Linked DNA regions of Mus musculus: regions 1, 3, 4, 5 and 6 are each reported to be linked to region 2. Evidence: microRNA targets listed by miRTarBase, many of them from high-throughput screens and not tested one by one. Region 2 holds a microRNA gene; each other region holds the end of a gene's coding sequence.

Region 1 (5,074 bases), not on the chromosome of region 2:
AGAGAGCGGGCACCTAACGAGTCCACCGCTATCCAAGGCTGCAGGCGGCTCTGTACTCTGTTAAGTACAGTACCTGTATCTTACTGCTGGACTTTATGCCTTGTCAGTCACCATTGTCTGTGGTAAGAGGGAATTTTGAATAGTTGAGTGAGGGACCTGGAAACATGGCTCAGTGGTTCTCAGCCTGTTCTTCCAGAGGAGCCACACCCTCACATTGCAGCCACAGCCACCTGGAACTTCAGGTCTAGGAGATGTAGTGCTCTCTTATGGCTTCCTAGGACATAGGCATGCAAAAGGCACACAGACAGACATGCACAACACCCATACATGGAAAACATTTTAGTTTTTTTCACAATGGTAATTAAGTGAGGTAAGCTATACTGGACCTCCTCTTGAAGAAAACTTGGAATGACCTTAACTTTATTACAGCTTTTTGTTTCTTTTTCTTTTGCAGCTGTGGACGTCAGAAAACCAGGGGGATGAAGGAGATGCTGGAGAGGGAGAGAACTAATGTCTGTTGTGCTCTGTGATCTGTTTGTGTCACTTTGTATCCTCCACATTATGTCCCTTTGTGCGATAAACAAAAACAAAAAATCGAATGTGGACTTTCGATTTTTCACAGCCTAAGCCTTGCAAAGATGGTCCCTGGGATGAACAGCTGGTATTTGTATCTAAAGCTCAGACTGGTCCCTTAATACCATGGTATTGTGAAGTCTTGATTTTGATCAACATTGACAAGGATTACTGTGTGTTTAATTTTTACAAACTGAACACTGTGATCATGGGGTTTTATAACTTAGCAGAACTCTTTCTGGTAGGAAAAATAGACCTGAATTATGTGTAACTTCTTGGAAAGTTTAATCTGATATCAAAATGGTCACTGAAATACAATTCTGTTGTAAAGCTGTACAGAAAGTTCTAGAGATTCTGTGGTGATGCTGGGACTTGGTGAGATGCTGACCACCGGCATCCTGAGTTTGGTAACTCACAGTAATTCTGCCTGTGGTTGAGGGCTTACCAACCCTTGATCATTCAGGGCTGTTGCCACTCAAAAGTTCATGACCACAAATATCTGCAGTGTCTTCTGAGGAAACTCAAAACCTGAAAGTGAACTTCTTTGGCCGATAATTGGGCTGTGTCACCACAATAAAAAAAGGTCCCGTGCTCATACCACCTGTGTGACTAAACCCTTTACTATAGCAGTGTGTTCCTGATTAGCAGCGTGTGAAAACAGGGCTGTTACCCCCTAGCTAAAGGAGAGGGGGAAGGAAGAGAGAAAGCAGTGTATCTTACAAATGGCCAGACCAGTTTTCTGGATGATTCTTTAAGAATAATGTGTTGAGGCGGCCTCTCGCCTGAGGAGCACTCATAGTCTTGGGGTTCTTCTAGCTTGGAGGGTGGAAGCTTTGAAATTTAACGTTCTTTCCGCCCTGTCCTTCTGACTGTTGACTTTTTTCCCTCTTTAAATTTACAGCTTTCTGCTTCCTTGGGTGGTTTTCTTTGGAAGCCTGTATTAGTCAGGACTGTATGGACAGGGCGGGGTGTTGAGCACAGGGTGAGCAAGCTTTGCTTTAAGGTGTTGAGAAAGAAGACCTTCCAGTGCCACCACCCTGCCTTCCTCCAGTTCTCAGCACAGTTGTTCTTCATAGTGTGACTCATCCAAAACAAACAAACAAACAAACAAAAGTATTTTGAAGTCTCCATGATTTCCCCCTATTGCACTCAGCCCTGACAATCTTGTTAGTGCCTGTCACCAGACCCTCCAGTGTACTCATCTAGCTTCGTGCTCAGACACGTCTCAACAAGACCTTAGAACACAGGGAAGTTGCATGGACACTACAGTCGAGACAACCAAGAACAGCCAGGCCTTCAGTCTCACAGTCTCACCCCTCTACCTTGACATTCCATGTAGCCGTAGACATAGTCCATCTGTTTGTCCATCTGCTGAAATATGAAAAGAATTCATGCACTGATTTAAACCAAAAAAAAAAAAAAAAAAAACCCACAAAAAAAATCTCTTCTTTCTAGCTGAACAAAAAAAAATGTGCAGTTAATACTTGGCGCTTGACAACGCAGTAGTGAGTGTGGAACCAAGCCTGTCTGTATATCTGGTAGCTCTTTGCTCTGGTTTTTTGTTTGTTTGTTTGTTTTGTTTTTTCCCTTACCAGTATTCTGCCTAATGTTTGCTTCTGTGGTGGTTCTATTTGCCTAGCAAGCACACCCGTGATTGTGAAAATAGTGTAGCAAAAAAGAAAAGAAACCCCAGTTACTGATGTGCTAGATCCGTGTATGTCTAAACATTCTAGTTTCACCTTACACAGAGTAATCAGGAAAATGTAAAAACTTAAAGTGAAATAAAACATTTTATCAGTTAGTTGCCTGTGGATTGATGTGTCACCGCCACCCCTCTCGTTCTCAGGACCATTCCCATCCCGTTTAATTTTGGCTTCTTCTTTAAAGAGTAAATAGTTTTTACTTCACCCCTTAGAACCAGCAGTAGAGATGTCTTAGGTGGCTGTCTCTGATAAGTTGGATGTGATCACTGCCGGCTTGAACCAGAGCAGCCATGATCGCCTGTGCAAGACCCTCCCTCGCCTTTCTTTTCGAGGGGGTGGGGCGTGTTCCGTAAGGTCACATGAGCACTTGGGCTGGACAGGCACAGACAGCACTGCTGGTGGTGTGACCATTAAAGGTGCAGGGGACCTGACAGTGATGCAGCTGCCTTAGAGCCCACTATGCTCCGTCCTGTCAGTAGCCCAGTAAAACTCAACTGGTTTGCCAAACTGGACGTGGGTGGAATCCTTTCTTCAGTCTCAGTATCATCCCTATCTGGAATGAACAGATGTGTCTTCATGTCTCCCTAGGAAAAGGCCTGTGATACTCCATTCACCAAACCAAAGATGAGCCTGGAAGAAGTAGGTAATAGCCCCACCTATAGGTGATAAGACATATAACTGAGCCAAGTGTCAGGGAAACCCCCAAGTGGCTGTTTGCCTCTGTAATAGGGTCTTCCAGGTAAGTGTTATACCCCCTCAAACAAGCAGCTGCTGGACAAGAAAGTATGTTACAGTCTCGGAAGGTATTTGTGGGTCAGGATTGTAAGCAGGCAGTAGTGTCAGTTGCAGTGGACCATGCTGTAGGTAAAAAGACATGCGGCTGAGGCCACGCCGCCAGTCCAGAATTCCCCTTCCTAAAGAAGGAATTCCAGTGGGAAGAATGGATGTTACCCGCTGTCTGTGTGTTAAGTGGGGGAAAGGGAGGGATGAGGTAGAGGACTGTTTTATACAACTGATGCACCTCGGATCTAAACATGTGGAACCCGCAGGAAGAGTTGCGAGTGCAGAGGAAGGGAAGGTCCATGGCTCAACACGCAGAGGTGGCCTTAGTAACAGCCCTGACAGGCAAGTGCTAATCAGGTTATTGTGCCTCTGAACAACTTGAATGGAGAAAGCCTAAGGCTTCATGGGCAAACCCAAAATATGTACCTGCTGCTAAGCCAGACCACCCGAGTTTGATTCCCAGGCCTCACATGGCAGGAGGAAAGAAGAGAAGACCTCTGACCACACATGCACCATGATGTGCATAGAACACACACCCTCCACAAAAGGATGAAAGATGAACAGCTTGTCTGTGAGGCTGTGGAGCATGGGGGAAGTTGGGGTGGAGCTATGTCATGAAAATGGAGATTACCCTTCCTTTCCTGAGAAAAAGGCTGATGTCGGCGACAACAGGGAATTGGTCCCTTGTGGACTGTCAGCTCATGTGGACTATTAAGGACACTTGGTTATTTCTTGGAATTGCCACAAATATTTGGAACTGGAAGGCGTTGAAAAGGGAGTCGTTAGGGCTGGAGAGATGGCTCAGTGGATAAGGGACCACTTCAGAGGACCCTTATTGAATTCCCTTATCATGACTTCCTGTAATTCAAGTTTAAGGGGAGCTGTTGCCCTCTTCTGGCCTCTACAGAGCAGGCATGCACATGATACACAAACATACAGGCAAAACACATAAAGGAAGAAAAAAAAATTGCTTTAGAGGCTGGAGAGATAGCTCAGGGGTCAAGAGTACTGCCTGATCTTCCGGAGGATGCGGGTTCAATTCCCAGCACCCACATGGCAGCTCACAGCTGTAACTCCAATTCCAGAGAATTTGATACCTCACACTAATGCGTTTAAGATGAAAATGGAAATTCTTGGAAAAGGGTATAACTGAGAACTTGTTGCAAAGGAATTGATTGGTGCACAATGCACCACCTGGATCAGACAGTTGATGGAGTTAGAAGCTAGTTTAGCAGTGACCCCCCCAGGACTGGTATGAGCCTTTAGTGGGTTTGCTGGTACAAGAAGTGGATCTGCCGGGCAGTGGTGGCGCACACCTTTAGTCCCAGCACTTGGGAGGCAGAGGCAGGCAAATTTCTGAGTTTGAGGCCAGCATGGTCTACAGAGTGAGTTCCAGGACAGCCAGGGCTACACAGAGAAACCCTGTCTTGGAAAACAAACAAGAAACCAAGAAGTGGGATCTGACCTGTAAGGCAGGAGAGGCTGGCAGGTCTGAGTGATGAATAGTGTGCACTTACAGAGTGAGTGTTAAGACACCTGAGAGGTTCTAGGGGAAGGACAAGCCCAAGGATAGCTTTTCGTGGTTGCTTAATGGGCAAATGGAGTATTTGTATTGAGCTGGGCGGACTGGAAACTAAATTTGGTGCCTTTGAGCTTCTAAAACAGCAGTTCTCAACCTGTGGGTCTGCGGGTTGAATGACCCTTTCACAGGGGTTGCATGTCAGATGTTTATGTTATGATTCATTACAGTAACAAATGAATAGCAAGGACATCATTTTATGGTTGAGGGTCAGCACTCCACGAGGAGCCGCTTAAAGGGCTTCAGTGTTAGGAAGGTTGAGAGCCACTGCTCTGGAGGGAAGGCTTTCAAACCATGCGTTAGCTCATTCAAGGGGTACACGGTCCAGCGAGAGGGTTGGCGTGGCAGGGGAAGAGGATTCAGTGATTTCACCCCATTTGGAAGAAGATTGGACCACCTCAGCCCTCCCGCAGAAGTGGCTAAGATGAGGAACATA
Region 2 (5,074 bases):
TGTGCATGGCCTCTAGAGGTGGGGGAAGGAATGACAGATTTCCTGGGCTTGACTGAGTAGGTCATAAGGACTTCAGGGGAACTAGTAGGATGATTTCCTGAGGGCCAGGAAAAATCCTAAGAGGCTGAGATGACAGTTGGCTGGGAGGGACTTGGGATAGTGTGGGAAGAACTGATAACATGGATTTGAGAAATCAGTTGACTTTACTAATGTGTGGATGAGAGAAAAGCTGTAGTCAATTTGAATCCTGAGGGGAGGGAGTTATGTCTTGGACCATTACTCCCCTGTCTGTAAGAGACTTGGTCTTTCCACTGACAAACTTTTATTTTGAGACAGGTTTTACCATGCGACCCTGGCTAATCTGAAACTCGCTATGTAGCCTGGTCTCCTTGAATTCATAGAGATCCACCTGCCTTTGTCTCCCAGGTACTAGGATTAAAGATGTGTACTAATGTGCCTTGATCTATTGCCAAACTTTTAAATGCCATTTTAAAGTGTGTGTGTGTGTGTGTGTGTGTGTGTGTGTGTGTGTGTGTGTGAATATGAACATGAGTTAGGTGTCCTCAGAGGTCAGAAGAGGGTGTTGGATTTCCTGGAGCTGGGACTGCAGGTGGCTGTAAGCCATCTAGTATGGCTGGGGAACTCATTTAAGTCCAATTTTAACAGTTCTGCAAGAGTAGTACTCGATTTTGACAGCCATGCCATCAATCTCTCCAGCCCCCAAACTCATGGAGCAGAAAAGTTGCTTCCATGCAGAATGCAAAACATTACAAATGAAAAGCACAGGAGCAGCAGCAAAACACTTTAATTTTACATTTGATTTTTATTTTTATGTGTATGGGTGTTTTGACTGCCCATATGTCTATGCATGCAATGGCTTTAGAGACCAGAAGACGATACTGGACTGGAGTTACAGATGCCTTTGAGACAACTTGTGGATCCTGGGCATGGAACCTGAGTCCTCTGGAAGAGCAGCCAACCCTCTTAACCACTGAGCCTTCTTTCTGGTGAGCCCCCTCTCTTTAAAGACAGTATTTCATGTAGTTCAGGCTGGTCTTGAACTTCTGGCTCTTTTCTCCACTTCCCAAATGTTGGAATTTCTGGATGTTTTATTTTGTATCTGTGTGGAGCGATGCAGTGTGGTGGCTGTATCCCCAGTACTGCAAAAACCTAGGAGGATTACCATAAGCACAAGGCTAGCCTGGTCTACTCTGTGAGTTCTCAACTAGCCAGCCGTGATATACGATGTCTCAAAAAACCAGCATTCTTTTTTTTCCCAAAGAAGACAAAACAATGTAGGGACTGAGATATTATGGGTCAGTGTTAATAGCATTGGTTGCTCTACCAGAGCATATGGGTTTCATTTCCAGCATGCATGTGTTTGCTTACAATCCTCTATAGTTTCAGTTGCAGAGGATAGAAAGCCTTTTGACCTCCCTGAACACTAGGCATGTACATGGTGGTACAGACAGGCAAACAAAGCACCCATACACAAAAAATTACATTTAAAATTAAGTGGACAAAATGAGTTCTTGAAGATCGAAAACCAGCTCTGTCTGCTTTAAAAATATTTTCTTTCAGCCTTTGAGCTGGGGGGTAAAGATTCCCTGTCTCATATGGATATAACTAGGGGTAAAGCTCAGACGCCAGCTGCAAAACTCTGTTTTTCCCTTCGCTGACAGAACTGAGTAGAACACCTCAGGTTCTGGGTGCTAGGTGCTGTGTATCTTTGGACATATTAGCTCAGAAAGGTCACTTAATGAACTCTTACCCATAAAGTGGTTCACATTCTCAATGACATCAATGACATCAGAGCATTTCTTCACTTACAAAAAGTGCCAGGGCCTCCTCAGCCCAGCCAGAGGTTTCCTGATGACGATGCTCTGAAGTTGGACAGAAAGAGGGAAGGCCACGGTTTTTAAGTAAATGTCCCATCCTGGAGGAGCAATGAACAAATTTCTCGCGAAATACGAAGCATCCCCTAGGGGTTCATTCAACCGCTGGCTTGGCCAAAGGACACTTTGCCGGGATCTCAGAGCCCTCGCTAATTTGGTGAGCTGTGTAGTAAGCATGGACGCGCCCTCATGAGTATCACTATAATAACTACAGAGAAATGAGCTGGGAAAAGGCGGACAGAGCTCCTTTTCAAGAGTTATGAATGAGGAGAAAGTGTTTGTAGAACTCATTGTTAAAACGGTGGAGCCAAAACTCGGGCGCCTGGCCAATCGGAGCCTGGAGGCTATTTTGAAATCTTTCCAGCAGCAGCCAATAGGTGCGCAGGAGGCAAAGCTTGGTGTAGGCGCAAGCCAATGAGGCTGGCGCTGTGCCTTGAGGCCCGGGGCTCGGCCCTCGGGACTGTCAGATGGTTAAAGATGGAGCCGAGGGAGAGAGGGCGCCACGAGGTGCTGAGGTGCGGGGTTGTCCAGATATGACGGGGCCGCCGCCTACCTGGATCTTCCACTAAGCTTCACCTTGTCCCCCTGGTGAGAACAAGAGGTGTCTGTCCACGTGAGTAACTGGTCTGGGATAGGGTGTGCGGTGAGGCCAGGGAAACTCCAGATGCCAGGAAGCCCTAGTTCTGCTCTTCTAGGCAGGAGAATCTGTTAGGATAGAGTGCAGAACTCATACTGGGGGAATGGACCAAGGACCGGATCTCGGACTCCAAGGGCCTCACGTGCAAGGAGTGAAGTATCCCTCTTATTCTAGTTCTGGTCTGAAACAGGGTACAAGTAGTCCCACTGTGCTCCCCTCTGCAACTGAGCGCAGGCCTCTCTCCTTTGTGTTTGAGCCCCCTCGGGTGCTCGCCCTTCAGCTCCCTCCTTGGAGTACCTCACCAGAATCAGAAGCCTGTTAGAGAAAGTTTGAGTTCCCTGAAGTTAATAAGTCCAGAGGACTGCATCCGGGCTGGAATCCCGTCTGTTCTCCGAGCTTGGATAGATGTCCCACCCACCCATGGTGGTTGAATTTCCAGCGCAGCCCTGCGTGCAGCGAGGGCGATGGATTTCCTGCTGGCTGCGGGTGCTCTGACTAGGTTGCACTACTGTGCTGTGAGAAGCAGTGCAATGGTATTGTCAAAGCATCTGGGACCAGCCTCGAAGACCACCTCACCTACTGTTCCTTCTTTCTTCCCTTTCCAGGCCTGGCCCCTCAGGCCTGCAGGCCGTACCCTCCCCCTGCTCATTTTACTCTCTTCTCCATGGAAACTTGAGATTGTAGCCAGGCCCGTGTCTCTGGGGTCAGAGGGCATCCTTTGCTCAGGCCGAGGCTCCGCCCAGGTGGGCATGCGTTCTAGGTCTAAGATCCCACTCCAGCCACCCCAACTCCCCATGCCCCGCCCCACCCCGTGAGACTGACAGGCTTGTTGGACACTCTTTCCCTGTTGCACTACTGTGGGCCTCTGGGAAGCAGTGCAATGATGAAAGGGCATCTGTCGGGCCAGCTAAGGAGCCTGAGGAACAAAAGGGTCAGTGCTTGGATCATAGTCTTAGATAGAGATAGCTATCTCTAGCTAAAAGGATAAGGTGGATGCTGAGAACCATATTCCAAGGCTGGAACCAGTACAAAGGGGAGACCCCAGATTTGGAAAGGCTCCAGTCTCAAGCTCTTAGCCCCCTCCCCCCAGGTTAAGATAGGGGAGTCTGCTGCAGGGGGCGCGGCGGTGAGTGAATGGTAGGTAGCTCATGCCTTAAATCTCAGCACTTGGAAGGCAAAGGCAGGTGGATCACCCAGATCTAGGGCATCCTGGTCTACATAGTGAGTTTTAGGACAGCCAGGGATACACAGAGAAACCGTGTTTTGAGAAAAACCAAATTAACTAATTAATTAATTAATCAATTAAAAAAGAAAGAAAGATTGGTGAGCCCATGTCTGGAGGCTGATGCAGGAAGATTGTCTCAGTTTTGAAGCTGTCTGAAGAATCAAAACAAAACTAGGAACTCCAGGACCTTGTGGAGAGAAACAGATGTTCACCTCTTTGTATGGAAAAGGTTTGTATACCTTGCTTAGCCTTGACTGCCTCGGGAAGAACTGGACTCAGCCTTTCCTGAGATAACCACACCTTGGGTTCACACCTTGAGGCTCAGAAGAAGTGTCCTGCCTGGGCCAGATGGATGGACTTGGAACAAGAAGCCTGCAGAGTAGGCCTGCCAGCCATGTCTGCTTGCTCCTTTACAAAGAGGGTATGTGCTGAGTAGGAGAGGCATGGAGGTGTCTGGTATGTCTGCTTTCCAGACAGGGCTGGAGCTCATTTTTATTTATTTATTTATTTATTTATTTATTTAATTTATATGAGTGCACTGTAGCTGTCTTCAGACACACCAGAAGAGGCCATCGGATCCCATTACAGATGGTTGTGAGCCACCATGTGGTTGCTGGGATTTGAACTCAGGACCCCTGGAAGAACAGTGCTCTTAACCACTGAGCCATCTCTCCAGCCCTGGAGCTGAATTTTTAAGGATGCCCGATCCTTAGTGTGCTTGCAGAGTTACCTTTAGCGGCAAGACCCAATGGCCCATGCCTTTGAATGCAGCACAGGGAAGGCATGGGTAGGTAGATCTCTGTGAGTTCAAGGACAACCTGGTCTACCCTGCACGTTCCAGAAGAGCTATATTTACATGGTAAAGCCCTGTTTCAATGCACCCACCCCTCTTTTACAAACAAACAAAAACCTAGTAGGAGGTGGTCAGGCCTGCCTCCTTGAGAGGAGGCCCAGGCTTCCAGATTCCCTTTTGGGAATAGATTGAGAAAATCAGCCTTAATAGTACTCTAGCTCCACAAGTCCTGGCACCCATGGGGACTGCTCTGATACATAATGAGTCTCAGGCCTGACGGAGGGCTTTGATGGGGAAGAAGCAACCACACTCCTTTGTGGCTAGGGTAGACGTGTGTCAGCAGCTGTTGCCACAGCAGATCCATCCTGAGGTGCTAGGAATCCTAACATGTGCATATCTTACATATCTTACATGTGCATATCTTACATATCTTACATGTACATATCAGGGGAGGTCTGGGCCGCAAAGGATTTAGGTTGGCTAAGTCACTTCTGTGAATTTGAATTGGCTCAGGGTGTAGAACA
Region 3 (5,074 bases), not on the chromosome of region 2:
CCAGCTCATAATTACACAACGGCTGCTTCAAGGCATATTTCTAAGACTTCTGCTGGGCAGCAGCTCTCAGAATCCACATGGATAGTTTTAAAGTCTGATCCTCCTTGTGTACAATTCTTCAGAGGTTCAAATAATTAGAGACAATTCTTTTCACAAACAAGCAAAGCAAAATGGCCCACAGAAATATTTATGAAAATGGCCATCGGTGACCAACCTGTCTATGTTGGTGGCATGTCTCCATCAGCCTGCTGAAAAGGGAAGGAAGCTGTGAGGCTGAGGACTGCACACCTCCAGATCTCTGCTTCTCACTAGGAATGTGAACCACACTGAGTCATGACACAAAAACTCTAACACCCACAACTAAAGTACAAATTTAACTGATGTGTTGAAGTCTGAGTTTTAAGGGAACATTTGAAATAGAACTATTCAGCTAGAAAGAGAAAAGAAAGACACTAGTGTTGTATTTTGTGAGAGGAGAAGATTTCTTTAGCCACTGCTTCATTTTCTTCACACCCTCGATGTTCAAACCACAACCCAATGAGCCTCCTTGTCAATCCCATCAGGCAATCTGCTCAGGAGAGATAGTACATTCCTGTTTTTACACTTGTACATCCACATTCTCATGATAATATCAAGTCAGAGGTGTGATGGTAGTTTGTGTTGAACAAATGTTTTGGCTTTAAGGTGTTAATACTATAATTGAGCTCTTTCTAACTACTGCTTAGAAAAAGACATTTGCAAGTGTCTTGAATGCAAGAATCACATTAATATCAGATGTTGTCTAAGTGATCTTCTGATTATGTACCTATTATGGCCAACGTTATGAGACCATCCAGGATACAGAGAAATATTTAGAAATACTAGACAGTCAAAACACGGCTAAAGAATCATACTATTTTACAATAGTTTAGACATTGGTGGGAAGTCAAATAAAAGTTCATGGTTTTGATTACTTATCCCTAAAATGTGTTCAAATGAATCATTTGTGAGTGACCAACAATATACTGGAGAAAAGTATAAGCTACTACATATTGAGTTCATTTTTATCACAGTAGTCTATTTGAGAAAGCATGGGAATATGCCCATGGGAATATGCGGCTGGAATCTATTGAAAGCAGTAGCTTTAGAAAGTTCTGCCAAGATTTAAAGGAACATACTGCATCATCAAAAGTGAAGCATTAGAAGAATGGTTTAATAACATTATTTCCACTCAAATTTTATTTTTTTTTAAAGCGGAGAGAAATATCTAAATCTAAAACTCCTTAGAAGATGCTTTCATATCTACAGACCAATTAAGTCAATAAAATTCAACATGATAAATAAAAAAGGCTTTCTAATCTACTTTTAGGATAGACAGAGGACTACCTTGGAATCTATATAATCAGGCTACATCCCAATTCTACCACTAGCTATTATTGTGGATTCCTGGGCCAAGAGTCCACAATTATTAGGGATGGGATTTTCCCATGCTAGCTATAAAAGAGGAGCACTGGTCCTGCCTAGTTCTAATAGTCACACAGCACAGCTTCCATCTAAGCTGGCTTGTTTCTCAATTAGTCCCAAACACTTGTCTGATGCTTATAAAGTGCTTCGTCTTTCCAACTAGAACAAATATCTGCCTTGATTGTCACATTACACATCCATTCTTGCTATTTATCATTCAAGCTCTGCTTTAGGTTTGTGGATAGAAAGCCAGCCAAAGCTGTATGCTACTTACTAGAGATGCTAAAAGCCCCAATAAGCCCATGATCATTTCCTACTTTGCTTTCATCTGTAGGACTGGAGAATCCCCATGCAAGAACACCATTGAGCAATAGGGCAATTAAACCCCCATGAATGGAGACAAGGTTAACCTTCATGCTATAGAATTCTGCAAAACAAGCAACTCTTCATCTCTCCTCCTTCATCAAAGAAGCTTCTTTTTGTGGAAAATGGAGATAAATTCCAAAGTAGTTCTACAAGTGATATCAATGTATCTGCCTTCCTATATCATATTAAAGGCTCTCAAAAAATATTATCAGGCACTATAACTCTAAAAGTGTACATCCTAAGAAAACACAGAAGTAAAGGATAAATACTAGTCACATAACATGTATTTAGTAGTGTATATTTAATAGAAACACAAGTATTTTCTTTTAAGAATCTATGTATAAGCAACTACTCAACTGATCAAAAGTCCAGCTAAAAATACTGTGTGTGTGTGTGTGTGTGTGTGTGTGTGTGTGTGTGTGTGTGTGTGTGTGTGGTGTGTGGTTTAATGCAATGCCTCAGTTAAAATATTGGTGATGGGCTGAGGGTATGGTCCAGCATTTGCCTAGGATGAATGCTGTCCTGGGTTTGATCCCAGCACCACAAGAAATATATTGGTGAGGCTTCATTGTCCTTGATTGTCCAATGCAAGTTTTATCCTTTAAGGAAAACAAAGCCAACTAAATAAAATTCCAATCTCTTCAACCAGTTCCCTGTATCGTTTACTTCATGAGGGAAGCAATATGTCAGTGTTTTTTAACTGCTCAGTGGACTAACATTCCTTAGGTTATGTCTGCTTGGTGGATATGAAGTGCTCTCCCACGTGAGTGTATATGCACTGGAAGATCTTGAGATAAAGTGCATATGTTAGTCTTTCCTCTATTGAATGTACAAAATGCCAAACATGCTGTAATCATAACACAGCCCTCCCATCCCGGCACATGGAAAAAGGAAGTCACCTGGAATCTGTACTGACCCAACCATAATCTTAGGGGGGGTTAAATCATTCCTGAGCCCTCCCCACAAGAACAACAAACAAACAAACAAACAAAAGGCAGCCAAAGGAAAAAAGAAATGCAGAAACTGTTCAAGTTTCATGACTTTCCAAATCAAATCAGATTCAAATCCTTAAAATATGCATGGAAGAGAGTCAACAATTTGTTTTTCTTTGGAAAAAACATCATCTGTTTGAACTCTTCTCTTCTGTTGTTAAGCTACTGATAAAGCTTGCCAAAGGAACAGGGAAATATTAAATAAATGCCTATTTTTACTAAAAGCTCTCAGCTCTATTGAAATCAACAGCTTAATCTTACATATTGTAAATCTATCCAAAACCATTTCAAAAGTACCCTGTGCACACTAATGCTAATATTAAAATGCCCTGTTGAAGATCAGTGATTCAGGGACCCTATAACCCTACAGGTCAGTCATTTCCTACTTTCAGCTGGACTGTATTACGACATTTCGACAGGATAGTTGCTTCTGTAATTTAAGCTTGCTTTGTATCACTTCCACTAGAGTTAGCTGAGATCCCCTGAACTGTATATAAAGTTAATACTTCCCAAGAGTACACTTCACAGAGAACAAGTAGTCATGTAGCTGGTGGGAAGATTGCATTCTTTCATTGTGTCTTCAGAAGCAACACATCTGAAATCCAGCCTAAAATAAAGACAACAATGACAACAGCCAAGGATTGTTGCAGAGTTAGTGGCTATTTTTCTTCCCTTCTCAGCCTGGATACCCGGATTCAACAACAAATAGGTAGCTATCCAGCTACTAATATTTGTTGGGTGGTTTCCAAGCTTATACATTTACAAAGATGTTATCCCATGCAGGATAAAAGCAGAGATCTGGCAACTATTTATTTAATTTGGTCAGGCAAGGCAGTTAAAGTAGATTGTGCTTGCACAAAAATTTACATGAAAAGGACTAAGTTATCTAGGTTGATGGCCTAGATTGGCCAAGTTAAACAGTTCATTGCCAAAATTCTCTACTTCACAGAGGTGTAAAGACCCAGTAAGGTTCTGATATTTAATAGAAAACAATAGTCAGATATTATGTATAACTGACATAATATCAAAATGGTACTACAGAAGCAGTTTTTGGCATATAGTGGTAGAGGGCACAGTGCCAGTGTAAATCTGATGCTTTAATTGTATTCCAGCTTTTGATTTTATTATCATCATGCCTAAGACTATCCAGCTGGAATGCACACTATTCGGGAAACCAACATACTGTATGTAGCATACATATAAGAATAAAATGGGCATGAGCATCCTGGAAGTACAGCATTAATAGGTACTGTAGAATTATAAATTCTTTAAATAAATAATGCTCCGAATTATCTGCTAAAAGGGTAACTTAAATAAGGAGCAGTATCTAAAAGTGGTTAAAATGGGAGATAAATTCCAATGATAAGTATATTTTTGAAATGGGATTTAGGATTAAACTGAGGCTTCCTGTATATCAGGCAAGCACTCTACCACTGAGCTATACACACACTTCTCTTTTCACTTTCTATTGGAGACAGTGTCCCAACAAGCTTCTAAAAATGGCCTTGAGCTTATGACCCTTCTGCTTTATCCTCCGAAGTATTAATATTTTAAGTGCAATGATCAGTTGAAGACATATTTTACTACCACTGTAAAATACACAAGTGAAGTGCAAAAGAGAAAGTCATATAGATTGTGTTGTGCTGCTGACAGCTTTTGACATTCAGACATATATGACAAGTAGTTGGGCTTAAACACTCAAAAGGAAGATCTTGGCAGACAAGGTCACCTGCTGTCACTCAAGCCTCTAGGATGTCACAACACTGTGACTGGGCGAAGTTGTTCCAATTGGTTTTCCAATGCGATCCGTTCTTGATGAACTTCCTAAATTATACAAAACAGGAGAAAGAAAAAGAAGAAAAAGCATCATTTCGTGGGCTCATCTCTATTTCTTTACACGTTCAAAGGAAATATAGAACCAACCCTCAAACACTTGGAGACAAGTGGCCCAAAAGGCACTGATTTCAATGCTAGGGATTAGACAGTGGGGGATTCCCAGTCACTAACCTCAGCCACTGTACTGCTCAGCACTGATATGTGTTAACATAGAGTGGAAGCCTCAAAACAGCCATCTCAGCTACAGGAATGGGCAGCTAAGTTCCAGCATGATCACATGGCACTTCGAGCATGGTACAACTAACCTACTTCATAGCACACCTGATAAAATTTTCTTTGCAACCCTGCCTTAGCCTCGGTCTGCTTTGATAGGCTCAGAAGATAGTAGAGAATGGCATTAAATATTAAAAAGACAACAGGAGAAAACTAAAAGAAAA
Region 4 (5,074 bases), not on the chromosome of region 2:
TAAACTACCCGGCTTTAAAGCCATCACTACAAGTTTCTCTCTAGGATCTTCCCCTCATAGTCTGAACAGATCCTCCGGTCTGAGATGGTGAGTGAGTCTTCACTGCTTGCACTAACTGATGTCATTTATGCCTGTCTTACACAGTGCCATAAAAGCCAGGCTGAGAAAGTAGGGAGGAGCCAGGCGGTGGTGGCACATGCCTTTAGTCTCAGCACTCAGGAGTCTGAGGCAGATGGTCTACAGAGTGAGTTCCAGACAGCCAGGGCTCTATGAAGGAGAAAAAGAAGGTGGGGAGAGACTTGTTGAGTGTCCCACCCCCCAATCCAGCCCCAGCCTCTTAACGTTCAGTTTTGGAAAGGTGCCATACAGTTCTTGGGGGCAGACCGTCCCCTTTTATAGACCCTCCTGCTCTCTGTGCTGACACTGACCTATCTATCACACACTTGTTTTCACAGAGTGCCGGAGCCTGGTTCTACAGCGTCTGACCCCCAGGCCAGCACCACTGACACGGCCTCCAGCGAGCAGTCTGGGAACTCCCGGAGAACAAGTGCTAGAGCCCCCCGGAACTGGAATAAGCCAGGCCCCACAGGTTACCTCCACCAGATCAGACACTGACTGGTGAAGGGTGGGGAGGTCCTCCCCAAACACTGCAGGGACTTTGGCCAAAGGGCTTATGGAGTTGTAAAAAGGACATCTGAGCAGGCCCTGTGTAGGTGAAGAAGAAAGTGGTAATTGGAATGCCCTGAGTTCAGCTCAGAGCCAGCATCTGTTGGACTCTGCACTTGTGGGTCCTTCTTACCAAGGGAGGCAATAGAGGCTGGTCACGCATCAGCCTTTCTGACCTAAAGGTGTAACTGGGCTGCATGGCGTTCCTCTGGAATAAAAGTATTATGCACTCAAATGCAGTGTCTCACCATCTCTGCATCTCACTAACTTGACAGTTAATGTCACCACCCAGCCATCTGTTTTGTGCCACAGGCCAGTGCAAAAGGGAAACTTGTTTAAGTGGAAAATAAAGACATTTGCATCAAGATTTGTCAGAGTGTGCTACAGAAGGGGAGAATCCCAAAACCGACATAGCCAGGTTTGGAGGACAGGATATTCTCCAGGACATAGATCTGGGCTGGATGCTTGTGCTTCTGTAATTACAGCCCTGGGCATCCTGGTACTACAGCTTCCTCTTCCAGAGGTGGGCAGGGTGCAAGAAAAAATGAGGTCTCTGCAGATAGGCCTGATCCAAAGGAGCAGACCAGGGGAAGGGGAGACAGGTCAGCCTACATCAGCTCCACACTGCAGCACTTGGGTCCTAGGTAGTGTGTGTAGTTGCTGGGAGCATCATCTGTCAGACGGTACCATCAAGGGTCAGGACTGATGTAACAGGCGTGAGATGGGAGGAGGAGGAAGAGGGTCAACTTGGCAAAATCAGAAAGGAATGGCTTCTGTCCGTGGGCCAGTGATGGACCTCTGACCGCTCAGTTCATGGAGTAAACAACTGCGAGGTATCAGAGCGCCTGTGTCTGAGCAAATTTAGGTTCTAAATTAAGGGCTTCTGATGTGAGAGGATCTAATGTAGGTTTTCCTACAAGCATTTAAATTTGTTTTTGTTTTTGTTTTGTTGAGTTTCTGATGCAGAATATATTAGATCTGATGACACAGGAGTAAGAGCTCTTCCCATTATTCCAGACTATGTGCTCATTAGCACGACCCTCTCCTTGCCAACCCCCATCCCCCAGGAACAGTGATGATCCTATACGGCAGGACTGCCCTCTGATGGCCATGGATAAAAGCCAACCTCTCCTAAATTTGCATCTAAACCAGTGGCTCTCAACTTTCCTAATGCTGCGACTCTTTAATACAGTTCTACTCATGTTGTGGTGACCCCCAACAAATTACTTTGTTCATATTTCAAAACTAATTTTGCTACTGTTATAAATCATAATGTAAATATCTGTTTCCCGATGGTCTTAGGAGACTCCTGTGAAATGGTTATTCAACGCCCCCCCCCCCCCAAAAGGGTTGCAACCCACTGCTCTATACCTAATCCCAGAATTCTGACTGTAAGGAAGTAGCCAGGGCAAACACTATAGTAAATATTCATACCAAAAGCAAGTATGTGTTTTATCAATGCAGACTCATGTCAGTTTTTGAAATGTCTTAAGAAAACACTTGGTTTTCAAGAGTCAAGTCCCCATAACTCCACAGAAATGTGTCTTTGTCCTTAAAACTGCATTTATCTTGTCTTTCTTCCCCCAAAGGAAACTGGACAGAGAGGTCAGAACTGGATTTGTTATTCATACATTTGCATTGATTTAAATACAATACATACAATTTCTACAGTGCATTAGAAGAACAGGGCAGCAGCGCTCACCAGCCAGCTTCAGCTCCTAGACACAGGGGACAGGCCTAAGGCTGGCAGAGGGGCGGCTGTTCTGAAGTACCTGACACTCTGGGCTCCTGGCACTCCCAAGTCCACATTCAAGGCAACTTGAGTACAAGCTTCGAGGGAGGGAGGCAGGTAAGGCTGCCTGCACCCTTGCCCACTGGGCCTGGCACCGGCCCCCTCTTCCATTGGACCCAATTTCCTCCTGATGGCAAACCTGGTCTGGGGCAGGACTAAGTTCTCTCCAGCACTCCAGGGGGAAGTCTCGCCACCCGGCTGGTGTGGAAACATCTGTGAAGACCGGCACACACCTGGACCCCTGCTGGCTCCTGTGGCGAGGAGAGAGAGAGATTCTCTCAAACAAGGTTCTGAGGCCAGAGTCCACGTGGGCTGGATGGGATTGTCAAGATGGGGCAAACAACAGCGACTGTCCATTGGGCATGCATATCCAGTGCTTGGAGATTCATGTTGCTGAGTGAAAGCCCATAGCAAGCTGGCTCCTGGGTTGGAATGGGCAGGGAGCAGCCTGCCACACCTGACAGAAGGCTGTCTTCAGCCCTGCCTCTAGGCGGTGGGAGCCCGGCAAGCAGCTGAGGCACAGTTGTGCTCCTCACTCCAGGTCTTTGGTTGTTTCACGCCTTCAGGACATTTCTTTCCAAGGCTGACTGACCAACTGTAGAGTGTGAGAACACTCAAGGGTCCACAGCACAGGGTGTGACCACTGCCGCTGCCTACGGCCTCTCGGCCCCCTTTTCACTCCCTCCTGAAGTCAGTTCTCTGCTTTGGTGTAGAAAGGGTTCAAACACCTGGCAAGGGAGAAGACATGGAAGCAGGAAGATGCACGCTGAGCTGGGCAGGCACTGGGGAACTGTCCGAAGGCCTCTCTTCAAGAAGCTGAGAAGAAACCATCCCAAGACGGAAGGCAGGAGCCAAGGGGCACGCCGGTTAGGGGGCAGAACACGGTCCTGTTCTCTCCAGGCAGCAGCAGTTAACACATGAAGAACAGAGATGCTGTCCTGGCTGCCCATGAACCTACTGACCCACAACACCTACTGAGAGCCACTCCAGAACCCAAACTGAACTTCTCATTTTAAAATGGGGGAAACTAGACTACCAAACAGAAAGGTAGGGAAGGCCGCAACTAAGGACCAGGAGTGAGGCTGTGCCAGGCTCCCACAGAACCCTCCTAGCACCCAGCATGCAACCAGGCCAAGTCAATCACCTCCGCGTCACACAACCACTCCTGGCAGAGCACACTGCCAAGGCTAGCCCCTCCCACCTCAGATGAGTGCCGGGCAAGTTACAGCAGGGCAGAGAAAAAGCCTGTGTGCAGAGCCTTAGAGGAGCAGAGCATGAACCTGCTCACTGCCACACGAAGTCAGTACCAGTGTGGCAAGAGGAGGCTCAATTTGGCAAAACCAGAAAGGAATGGCTTCTGTCCGTGGGCCAGCGATGGACCTCTGACCGCTCAGTTCATGGAGTAAACAAGTGCTAGGTATCAGAGCGCCTGTGTCTGAGCAAATTTAGGTTCTAGATTAAGGGCTTCTGATGTCAGAGGATCTAATGTAGGTTTTCCTACAAGCATTTAAATTTGTTTCTTTTGTTTTTGTTTTGTTGGTTTCTGATGCAGAATATATTAGGTAACCTGGATGGAGAGGGTTGTCAGGGAGAGATGGGACTTTCCCAACCAGCCACCAAATGCTAGGAGGGAGTGGCTCCTCCTCAGCCGCCTGAGCTCCTTGCCTGGACAGGAGCCTCCCCAACACTCTGAAGGTCCAGGAACACTCTTGTCCCCCCATTGTGCTTCTCCCTGTGGGTAGGAAAGCCCTGAGGGAGGTGACAAGCAAAGAGGAAGGGCTCTGAAAGGCTCTGCTGTGCGCCCGCCAGCTTCTCTGGCTTCTGCGAACCTGGGACTCCAGGCTTCCTCCCAGCCTGTCACCTGCAGGATTTCTTCTGCCTGCCTCTGGGGCTACCACCATGAAAAGAAGGGCTTCCGACTCTGAAAGCTCTGTGTGTAGGATTCGCTTGCAGACCGCTGGTGAGAGCGGGCCGTCTCGACAATCACAGGTGGCATCTGGACGAGGTGCAGGGGGCTCTTATTGTCTTTCAGGGCCTGGGTCAAATTTAGGATCTGCATTGAAAAGAGAAAAGGTGAAAGGCCTAGTATTCTAAGCCTGCCTCTGCAGTGTCATCCTTCATGTCAAAAACAAATGCCAGCGGAAGTACCATGGAAGCAGGCTAGTTCCAACAGTAGGCATGTGAGGCTGGAGAGGCAGCTCAGTGACTAAGAGCAAGTACTGCTCTTGCGGATCTGAGTTCAGCTCCTAGCATCCCTGTCAGGTGGCTCACAACCACCTCTAACTCCAGTTCCAAGGCGTCTGATGCAATACTAGGTCACCACACTCACATGCACAAATACACACAGACACAGACACATAATTTTAAATGAAAATTTGAAAATGTGGGGGCTAAAGAGATGGCTCATACTTAAAAGGCACTGATTACTCTTCCATAGCATCTGGGTTCAACTCCCAGCATCCACATGGTAGCTCACAACCACCTGCTATCCCAGTTCCAGGGGATCTGACCTTTGTTCCTGGCCTTTATGGCCACCATTCATACAAGTGGGGTACAGATAAACATACAAGCAAAACACCCATACAATAAAATAAAATGATCCTAAATTTCTTTTTA
Region 5 (5,074 bases), not on the chromosome of region 2:
CCCTCAGGGCTTTTAACCAGTGAGCCATCTCTCCAACTCTGAAAAATATACTCTTAAATTTATATAAAACAAAAAAACAACCTGCAGTAGATTCGCCCCAAACCTGACTGTGGATGATTTTCTGGTCCTGCAATTTATTACCCAACTGGATCAAACAGGAATAAAAGGCAAAAATGGGAGAAGACTTTGCAAAAGAGAAAAATGGGCGAGAAGTAATCTTCCATGGAAGAAGAGATGATGGAGCAGGTATCAAGAGAACACAATAACTTCTGAGTTAAACACCGGCTTGTCTCACAAAGAACCTGTCATCTTTGCTGATCCTTCCTTCTGGCTGTGTGACATTTCTCTAAGATGACAACTTGTACCCTAACAAAACCAATGGAATCCAAGACGATTTTGCATCTTGAGTTACTTTGACTACAAGCACACCACACAACAACACAGACCAAATCTGTAGCAGCACTTCTTTTCACTTTTACACGCCCATGCACGCCCATGCACGCCATGGCACAGAGGACAACCGGCAGGAACTGGTTTCTCCTCCTACCTTGTGGGGTCCAGGGACTGGGAACCATTCATCAAACTTGGTGGTGAGTGTCTTTACCCACGATGACTATCTTGCTTGCCTTGGGACAAAATGTTTAGGTCACAGGAAAATAACTCAAAGAATTTACAATGATTTAGCTTTCATTTCCTGCTTAGATGTACACTTCCTGTGCTTCTAAAGATCATTAGATTCTTACATTTACATTGGTATAATTTTTCTTGTCGAAGTCTAGGAAAGTGAGAAGCAACCTGTCAGTTTGTCTGCTGTAGACTTATTGTTATTCAAATAAAGTAATATGTAAGGAAGTAATAGATAAGCTAGTAATAGTAAGAGTAATAGCATGGTCCTAGTTTGACTATGAGCTTTGCTTTCTTTTTTTTTAAATATATTTTTTTATATATCCTTTTTATCAGGGATAAGGACATCTTAGTGTTTATAATTAAAAATGAAGTTTGGACTTGTAATGAAAGGCCTCTTTTCCATTCTCAATATTCGGTAAATATTAAACAGCTTGTTCTTCTATGATCTGAGACTAAGATACATGAATTTGTAGGAGAGCAGAATTTTACCACATATGTTGAACTGGTTGTTCATAATGACACAGCACATGAAAAAAAAACCAAGAAGCTCCAAAGGATGGAGTAGTTCTACTTACTAGCATATCCCTTCCTAACACACCCTGAAAACAGTTACTAAGTAACAGTTTTAATACGTGGACTATCCACTAATCAAAAACAGTGAGATGAAAAGATTAGTGTTTTGTGTTATTAGTAACAACTAAATCCTAGAAATATTTACATAGTATCTAGGAAATAACATTTACTTTTCTTAAGATTGCTTTTTAAAGCAGTATTTTCCGTACTATTTACTTAAGAGTCACCCTAGTGGTAATTTGGAAAAGAAAACTTGTTTACCACTTGAGGGTATCCTATGCTTAATGAGGTAATAATGCCTTGCTATGTGGCTAGATTCCATAGCAACATAGGCTGCAGAGACATAATTGTGTTTGAGAATTACTCCAAATCAAAACAAACAAACAAATCACACACATTCACAGGTTCCTAAAGTAATCATGCATATCATCAATTCCTAATCAATTCCTAACGTCTAAATTAGGTAAAAGGCTTCATAATTCTACTGTTTCTCTTACAAAGTCAACATGTCCCATGGATGAGAGACTAAAAGCCAGAATGCTGAGTAGAGAGGCAGACCCCTCTCCAAAACCATCCAGCCTTACCCTGGGCATAGTGTTGCACACCTTTAGCCCTAGCACTTGGGAGGCAGAGGCAGGAGGCTCTCTGTTCAAGGCCAGCCTGGTCTACACAGTGAGCTCTAGAATAGCCAGGACTATGTCTATGGAGAGAGACCCTGTCACAAAACAAAACAAAACAAAACAAAATAACCATCACACACACATCCAGAAGATCCAGACTGGTTTCTGGTTATCAATCAAATACATTTTTTTCTAAATTTTCTTTCTACTCTGAAGTTTTGCAATTTGAAGATAAGATTTCTATCTGTTGGGACTTTTTTTTTTTTTTTTTTTTTTTTAATGGTTTTTTGAGGCAGGGTTTCTCTGTATAGCTCTGGCTGTCCTGGAACTCACTTTGTAGACCAGGCTGGCCTTGAACTCAGAAAAATGCCTGCCTCTGCCTCTTAAACCTTTTTTTCTTTTTGGAGACAGGGTCTCACTATGTAGCCCTGGCTGGTCTGGAATTCACTATGTAGAGCAGGCTGGCCTCTAACTTAAGAGATCTACCTGCCTCTGTTTCCCAGGAATAAAGGCATGCATCACCACACTTGGCCTCTGTATTCAATTTTAATCTCTTTAATTAGGTTTACCTATACTGTAGGAGGGCTGCCGGGAGGTGACCCTTATTTCCCTTATGGGTTAAATACTAGCTCCTAGATATACTCTGCTTGCCTAAAAGCATTATCTAAGTAGCATTAAAAATAAGAAAAAAGCTTTTATATAATATGGCATGTAAATTTCATAATAAGTTAGATCATATTAAAACTTAGATCCTGGGTTTAAAGAATTCAATAGATCTCATGTAATTACTAGGGTTTAAAGCTTTAAATTCAACTTGAACATGAAACTTTAATGTATCAGAATTAGTTAAGATGTGACAGTGGTCAAGCCAGAACAGCATCAGAAGCAATGGTGTTTAGAACTGGAGCTGATACTATCTTTGCTAATAACACTGAAAATTTGTTACTGTCAGGAGGAATGGCTACATATGAAACTTCATTAACTCAAATCATCTGAAGGGAACATTTTCTTATTCTCTGAGACTAAATTTCTTAGGAAAGAAAATATGTACATAAATCCTCACACTAGCAAAGCCCCTTTCTCTCCCAAATAAAAGAACTTCACTCCCCTAAACACTTAAAAGGTTATGTAACCTACACATACTAGTTTTGAAAGGGTTTATAAGCCCCCAGTAAACCTTTAATATTTAAAGAGTAATACATAAAAATTAGCGTTTTAGTATAAACTACCTTAGATACCATTACTGAATCAAGAGAAAAACTACTGGTGTTTCAATAGGCCATTCTCATGCTAAGCTTCCCAGTGAAAACATGTAATTGCTCAAGAAAAGAATGTATTTTAATATGGTGAAAAGGAAGTTTAATTTGTACAAAATCAGTTCTTAGATTTTCTACATACACTGATTGGTTGATATGGCTACTCTAAAATTGCCTTTGAACTAGAAGGATCTAGCTTGCTGTATTATTTCTCTACTCTATCAAAAAAGAAACTAGACACAAAATGCATAGGGGGCAAAAATATGAAAGACTTCAGACTAAATATTAGAAAAATATGAAAATTAGTTAAAGGTATTTTAGGGGTACAGAAAATCTATGTCTTTACAGTAGAGTTTTAATTGTTACACTGTCAGGATTATGGACAGGGGAGTTACATACATGAAACACCCAGGAAAGCGGAAGTACATGATACACTGTTGTTGTTCAGCCAACACAAGGCTACAAAGCAAATTCCTCAGCCTATATAAACTCAACAAGTCCCTTAGGGATTTCCACCCTGTTTTGCCCAAATAGTAACAAATCCTAACAAGTACAAATGAAACATCTGAAGGAAAACATCTTTTTCATTGAATAAGAAAGCTGTTGTTCATATGATCTTAGAAAACTCTGAATTTGTAAAATTCATTCATAATTTAGTTTAACCAAATGTCTTTTTTTTTAAACCCCTTTGTATAAAAATTTACCTGGTGAGGTTCATTTCCATCACAGTCACATGGTCTAGTGCACCTCAGAGTATTTGGACATTATTAAAACTGTCGTTTTCCAATGAAGACATTTAAGAAAAGAAACACTTCTCATACAAGTGACATGATGTGAGGCTACTTATACTCTGTATCACACTTTCAGAACAAAGGTGTGATTCAGTGAAGTAAAACACCACTATTGTACAGTGTCTATTAAAACGAAGTTCTCTACAGAGGAAGCTACAGTATCCTGAAGACTTCTCAAGAGCTAGCTGAGTACATGCACCTTTGGGCTCAACTTTTGTCTCCTTCCTTCTGTCTTCTCCTGTTCTTGCCAAAGTGCATTTCTATCATGCACATACTGATGACATTTCTCACTACTGTGTCTAGCAGGGAAGTGGCTGTGTATTTTCAATGAAAACCACTACAGCAGTGCCCCTCTCAGATCATTCTGGTACTCAGGGTTAAATGACATCCAATGTGAAATTCCGAATTACATCCAGAGCTGCAGTATCAAAGCCGCACATATCCAACATGCCTCTATCGTCTGGGTCTGCAATGGTAAAGCCATTTGATGTCATCCCACAAACAATCAATTTAGCAGGAATATCCATTTTCTGTAGAGAAAATATAAGAGAAAGTAACTACATATGAAATTATATGCAAGAAAAGCAAACAAAAAAATCCTTGAAAATTAAGACTAGAACAACCATGGTTCCTCCTACCAAAATGCTGGATTACACCAAGTCCAACTTCCAATTTTAATATATACAGTAAATAGATTGTGCTCTTCAGAACTCTAATTCTGTCCCCTCTCTCTGTCTGACTTCCTGGTCCACCTCCCATCTGTTTCTCTTTATTCTTCTTAGCCATCCTTTGCACTATGGACCAAGCCAAGACCTTGCACATACTAGGTTAGTTCTCTACCACTGAATTACTGAGCTATATTCCCAGTCTCTCGGTATGTATTTAAAATCACTAAATATTTCGGAAGAAACAATCAATTAAAGTATAGTTTTGTCAGTTATTATAATAAATCTATTAAAATGTTTTTTTAATAATTAAGAAATTAAGGTTTTTGTTTGGATAAACTTTCTTTGAGACAGGATTTCATGTAGCTCAGGATGACTGCAAACCTGGTATGTAGGTGAAGAAGATCTGAACTTCTGATACTTCTGCCCCGCCTTCCAAATGCTAAGACTGTAGGTTATGTACCACCATGATCTTATGCAGGGCTGGGGATCGAGCCTCGTGCTTCATGTATGGTAGACAACTACTCTACCAGCCTTTATTT
Region 6 (5,074 bases), not on the chromosome of region 2:
ACCCAGGGGGGCCCCACCCACAGTGGGCTGCCCCCCCACCCCCGCCATCCATCACTAAGAAAATGTCCTATGAGCTTGCCTACAGCTGGATTTTATGGAGACATTTTTTTTTCCAACAGAGGTTCCCTCCTGTCAGATGATGAGAGCTTGTGTCAAGCTGACAGAAACCTTGTCAGCACAACCCCTCTGTCCCAGTCTCACATCCCTGGAGGAGAACGATTATTTTTGAACCCAGGACAAGCCTCTAGTTTGTTCTTCATTATACCAGGTTAACACAAGGCAGGCACGAAATCAGTACTCACTAAATGAAGCCTGAGGTCTTCTTGTCTAAGGAAGTGACCTATGCAGAGGCCTAAGCTGATCCCTCCCCTTGACAAGTCAGCCCCATGGCTCCCATCCAAAGAAGGAAGACTTCAGGCAGGCTGGGTGCTGGTGGGGGTTGGGGGGCGGGGGGCGGGGGGAACGGAGGGGGCGTGGCTTCCGGAAACACTGCCTTTGGGGAGCAAGCACACGACTTTATGTAGGAACCTTGGGAAACTGATGGAGGTCGAGAAAGGAAGACTGATTCCCTCAAGCCATTCCCATCTCCTCAAGTAGTCTCCTGCCCTTTCCACCCCCAAAGAGAGTCTGTCTTTGAGTATAGACGCTAAAGACACAACATGCTGAACTATAAGAACTTCTCCAGTGATTTTGGCCACCCATTGCCTGACACATAGGAAGTACTTCCTGGATGCTCATACCCTATCTGAGTATCAGGCCACATACTGGGGAGACAGAAGTTCCCATTTAACCTGTCCTGATATTTCTTACCATCCTTATTTTATAGAAGAACCAGAAAGCCAAAGACCTTAAGTCATGCCCCCACCCCCACCCCACTCACAGCTAGGAAAAAGGGTTCAAGTCTAAACCAACTAAGTCCTGAATCCACCTGCCACCAGTCCTTGAACACCTAGAAATTGCTGTCTTCCCTGCAGGGGCATCCCAGGATCATCCCTCCATCTGTGGCAGACAGGAGTTCTTCAAGCTTCTCTGTTCTCAAATGTAATTTGTCAGTTCTCCCTGAAAAGATCCCTTTGATATTCCTGCAGCCCATCCGCCTGGGTAGGCCACAGGAGCAGAATCAAGGGATACATACGGATGCTTATTGAAAACATTCAGTGAGCTAAGTTTGCAGGACGCAGCCCTGGATGCTCCGGGTCCACGCTTGGAGGTTTGGAGTCACCCTCCCCCACCTCCATCTTTTAATAGCCTTTTCCATATTCATTGCTGCCCTCTCCAGATACTTCAGACATACCCAGCACATGGTATATCTGCTATCTGCAGAGTCCCCAAAGTACCTTCTCAACAAATGCTCACCCAATACTATAGTATATTTAAGAGATTTATTTTCCTTGCTACTGAATGGAGGTCTCTAGAAAGGCAGACTCATTCCAGGCTGAGGCAGGCACTGCCTTTGCTGCCCAGTGGCCTCCAGCAGGAACGTTTTAATACATCACTTATTAAAATGGACCTTCAGCCTTGGCCCAGGGCGCGGGGCAGCTCCAGGAGCTGGCTGACCACATCCACACACTGCCTCCTTCTGACCCCTGATGCAGTCTCAAGTTGTGCAGGATGATGGAGATGGGCAGAGCTTGCGGAAGACACACCAACACAAGGACTTTTAAAGGCTGAAGGACAACCGTTGAAGCCGGAACAGAGCCAGTCTGTCTGCATCTTCATCCCAGATGGTGGGCTCTGGGTTCCAATCCTGCCTCTGCAGCTATCAAACTGAGGCGCTTGGCAGGAATTACCCTCTCTGAGACACGCTATCTACTGTGCAGCCAGGTAACACCACCCATTCTTCTGGGCTGTTGTGAGTCTGGTGTTCAGGGAAAGCTTTCTTGCTTCCCTGAGACCTCAGCTTCTTTGGTAACTGGTAAGTGAATGTCACTGGGTTTCTAGAAGTGCTGAGACAACCACATGAGATGGTACTCAGTGACTACAGTACCAGAAACCACATCCCTAAAGCTACCTTCTTGCCTGGCCTCTGTCCCTCTCGGCAGATTATTATTTGAACAAAAAGCAGGCCCTAGCTCTAATCCTTTCCCCCAGTAACCCCCTCGGCCTTCTGGGGAGGGGAGCAGTACATTGCATTTCTTGGCTCTAATGGAGCCTATAGACCTTCAAGTCCAAAAGGGAGTGCCTGGGGTCAAGAGGGAAGACAGCCAGATTCAAGAAGAGGACTGTGCGCCTGGGGAAATGAAGTTGGCATCCGCTTGCATCCGCAGGCTGGGCACTGCCAGTTCCAGCTCCCCCATCAGTCCCAGTAATGACCACAGGATGAAGAACCCCAGGCTGGGACCTGCTGAGGCTGTCAGACTTAAGAAGGGGGATAAGACATTTGCCCTCCTTTCCCTGGGGCCCCCTGGAGCTCCTCTTCTGCAGTCCCCCCACCCCACCCCGTGGGGACTCTTACCTGATGTCTGAGTCATACTCAAGCTCCTGTCACTGTGAGCTGTGTTGTGACTCCCTGGCTGACAGCTTTAAAACAAACACATTAAAAGCTCCAGGCAGTGGGGTTTCTACATGCAAAACATCCCAAGGGTTGGGGGAGGGGTAGGAGGCAAGGAGGTGGGGACACAGGACCTCTTCCTTGAGCCAAAACCCCTCCTCCCAAGTCCTCTCCCTACAGAACCTGAACCCCTCATCACTGCCTCCAGTTTAAAGAGAACTGGAGCTACCTCCCCACCCTGCCCAACAGACTTTTCCTAATGGGTGATTAGAGGCAGGTACAGCAGGTGCTTGGAAACTTTTGGGACTTCCCCCCCCCCCCATGCATCCCCAGAGAACAGACTCATCCTCAAGCATGTAACAGTAGGCTCTAGTGGTAGAGACACGTATGTCCATAACTGGGTCTCGGGTTGGATGTTTAGTGGATGCTAGCGGCGGCCCAATGTGGAAGGTTCTGGTGTGCCGAGGATTGATACTCCTCTTCTTGACCCTAAGAGGCAGCAGCTGAGTTCATCGGTCTCTGCAGATCAGGCAGGTGATGTTTACAGAAGTTCCAGTTCCGAGAGTAAGGCAGTCAGAGCTAGAACCTGAACCCAAGTCCAGTCTCCCAGCTTCAGTCTCCACAGGACTGGCGGCCTCCCAACCCAACAGGATGGCCCAAGCAAGCCTCAGGGAATCCAGAAGGAGCCATTTGCAAAATTCAAAGTCCACTGACTCTGCCATTCTTAGGGGATAGCCTGACCCATCCAGCCCACTGGCTGATAACCCCCCAACAACGCACACAAACTGTTTCATCCTACAGGCCAAAGCCACCATCTCTGTATTCCAGTCCCTGAGAAACAAGGCTAACGAAAGAGTAGACACAGGAAGAGTTCTTTATTGTACACTGGAGAAATAGCCCTGTGTGCTGGTTCAAGGTGCAACATACAGAATAGAGAATTAAGAAAAGAAGGAACTGGGAGGGGTGGGGACCTCTTGAGGTCCAAAGTTGCAAACAAATAATTTAAAAGAACAAAAAAAAAAAGGTAAAAGATTCCTCACGCAAGAGGCATTTTTTTGCAAATACCATGCAAAACAGGCAGCTGGCGAGCCTTAAGAGAACCCCTATAAATAACAGAAAAGACTCTCCAAGTGTTCCCACACAGGACTCAGAGCACAGGGGACAAAAGGAAACCAAAATGCCTTTTGGCGGTTCAAGATATTTGGCACTCTTGTGATTACATTTGTTGTTTGTTTTTGTTTTTTTTTTACAGTCCATTAAAGAGAATGGATAAAGTGACACAATATTGAAGAAGAAAGAGGGGTTCACTCAACAGAGCCCCCAGGGAGGCTAGAAAAAGCTCAAGCAAGTTTGTCTTTGTTTTTCTTCTTCTTCTTTCTGACATATAAAACCCACTGTTGGTGTTAACCTGGGCAAAGAGCTGTACTGCAACAAAGAAGCGCAAGCTTTTCAGTTGTCTCTCGAAAACAAGACCAGGAAGGGGCCTTCCCAAAGCATCAGTCCGTAGAAAAGTTACTTTCTGCTTTAAAATGGGGTTCATTCAAAGATGACCCAAGTACAACAGTATCTACAGAGGTCATTCCCCTGCCCCCAATTTTCTTTTGTACATCCAAGAATAAACAACATTAAAAAAAAAAAACTGGACTAGACCGCATGTCACATCCAAGTGCACAGATGAAATTATGTAAACATTGGGAACAGCCAAATCAGCAGAGAAGGCAAGCACCTTCACGTGGTCGGTGCTGCTTTCGGGAAGTGGTTCAAACTCCAGAGCTATAATTGCACAATATTTACCATATATAAAAAGAAACAGGTATTAATCTTGACAAATAGCTGCAACTGAGACTTTTTTCTTTTATATGTGTGTATATAGTGATTTTTATTTTTTTTATTTTATTTTTTTACTTTTTGTGTGTTTTTTTTTAACTTTTGTTTTTGTAGAGGAGCCCAGAGCCACCGCTACCGCTGCTACCACCACCACCACCACCTCCACCACCTCCACCTCCTCCTCTTCCTCCTCCTCCTCCTCTCCACCTCATCTGTCTCCCGGCCTGACTTGAGACACAAGTTGTCGATTTCATCGCAGGTAGCAAGCTATTAATAAATTTCAAAGTGCTTTCTCCCTCCTCCTCCTCCTCGTGCTTTTTGTCAGTAACTGTCACAGCCCGCCACTCTTCTTATTCTTTCCCTCAACACATTGTCTTTGGGGCAGTTAGACACCAGGGGGTGCCTTGTCGGTCATGGTTTTCAGCACGTCATCAATCCTATCATCTTCAATAACAACTGCAAAAAAAAAAAAAAAAAAAGGGGGGGGAGGGGAAGAGAAATGTGAGAGAGCTTGGGCTAGCCAGGGGTCGCAGATACTTTGTCTATCCCCATTATGGAGGTGCAGGGGAGGGCGAGGAAGGAAGGCTGGCTGTTCCAAGCAGGGTGAACAGCCCCATTGCCCTAGGCTCCCTTCCCTGCCTGGTTCTGAACTGCCCCACTGCCTAGCCCTCATCCTAGATGGATTCTAAGAAGGAGCAAGCCAGAGGGAGCCATCCCAGCTCGACTGCAACCCGATGCAACCCTTTACAAAGAAGT

Evidence for each region. Region 2 holds the annotated microRNA mmu-miR-301b-3p (CAGUGCAAUGGUAUUGUCAAAGC, at 3,056-3,078, shown strand). A microRNA usually pairs through its seed, bases 2 to 8, with sites in the 3' UTR of a target mRNA and lowers its output. Matches are read on the target gene's strand: a 7mer-m8 pairs with bases 2 to 8, a 7mer-A1 pairs with bases 2 to 7 and ends in A, and an 8mer does both.
Region 1: miRTarBase lists Ywhab as a target of mmu-miR-301b-3p. Seed matches in the 3' UTR shown: 7mer-m8 at 1,717-1,723.
Region 3: the mRNA of Reps2 is a reported target of mmu-miR-301b-3p. Seed matches in the 3' UTR shown: 7mer-m8 at 4,410-4,416 and 7mer-m8 at 4,355-4,361.
Region 4: miRTarBase lists Pi4k2a as a target of mmu-miR-301b-3p. The part of its 3' UTR that is shown has no 7-base or 8-base seed match.
Region 5: miRTarBase lists Ro60 as a target of mmu-miR-301b-3p. Seed matches in the 3' UTR shown: 7mer-A1 at 3,816-3,822.
Region 6: the mRNA of Camk2n1 is a reported target of mmu-miR-301b-3p. The part of its 3' UTR that is shown has no 7-base or 8-base seed match.

What each region holds. Positions count from the first base shown.
Region 1 is chr2:164,016,215-164,021,288 of GRCm38, forward strand. It overlaps Ywhab (tyrosine 3-monooxygenase/tryptophan 5-monooxygenase activation protein, beta polypeptide), which reads left to right. Exons shown (of 6, transcript NM_018753.6): 6 at 455-2,373. The coding sequence ends at 511. Among named protein-coding and RNA genes, the nearest start is that of Pabpc1l, 6.5 kb to the right of the region's middle.
Region 2 is chr16:17,122,424-17,127,497 of GRCm38, reverse strand. Mir301b (microRNA 301b) reads left to right here and starts at 3,002; the gene lies at 3,002-3,098. 2610318N02Rik (RIKEN cDNA 2610318N02 gene) reads left to right here and starts at 2,296. Exons shown (of 7, transcript NM_001358255.1): 1 at 2,296-2,508. It overlaps Mir130b (microRNA 130b), which reads left to right and starts at 3,356; the gene lies at 3,356-3,437.
Region 3 is chrX:162,412,987-162,418,060 of GRCm38, forward strand. It overlaps Reps2 (RALBP1 associated Eps domain containing protein 2), which reads right to left. Exons shown (of 18, transcript NM_178256.4): 18 at 1-4,625. The coding sequence ends at 4,557. Among named protein-coding and RNA genes, the nearest start is that of Reps2, 230 kb to the right of the region's middle.
Region 4 is chr19:42,119,230-42,124,303 of GRCm38, reverse strand. It overlaps Pi4k2a (phosphatidylinositol 4-kinase type 2 alpha), which reads right to left. Exons shown (of 9, transcript NM_145501.2): 9 at 2,086-4,511. The coding sequence ends at 4,350. It overlaps Avpi1 (arginine vasopressin-induced 1), which reads left to right. Exons shown (of 3, transcript NM_027106.4): 3 at 456-1,029. The coding sequence ends at 615. Among named protein-coding and RNA genes, the nearest start is that of Avpi1, 7.2 kb to the left of the region's middle.
Region 5 is chr1:143,753,498-143,758,571 of GRCm38, forward strand. Ro60 (Ro60, Y RNA binding protein) reads right to left here. Exons shown (of 9, transcript NM_013835.2): 9 at 1-4,397. The coding sequence ends at 4,245. Among named protein-coding and RNA genes, the nearest start is that of Glrx2, 16 kb to the left of the region's middle.
Region 6 is chr4:138,456,418-138,461,491 of GRCm38, reverse strand. Camk2n1 (calcium/calmodulin-dependent protein kinase II inhibitor 1) reads right to left here. Exons shown (of 2, transcript NM_025451.2): 2 at 1,366-4,774. The coding sequence ends at 4,704. Among named protein-coding and RNA genes, the nearest start is that of Camk2n1, 3.8 kb to the right of the region's middle.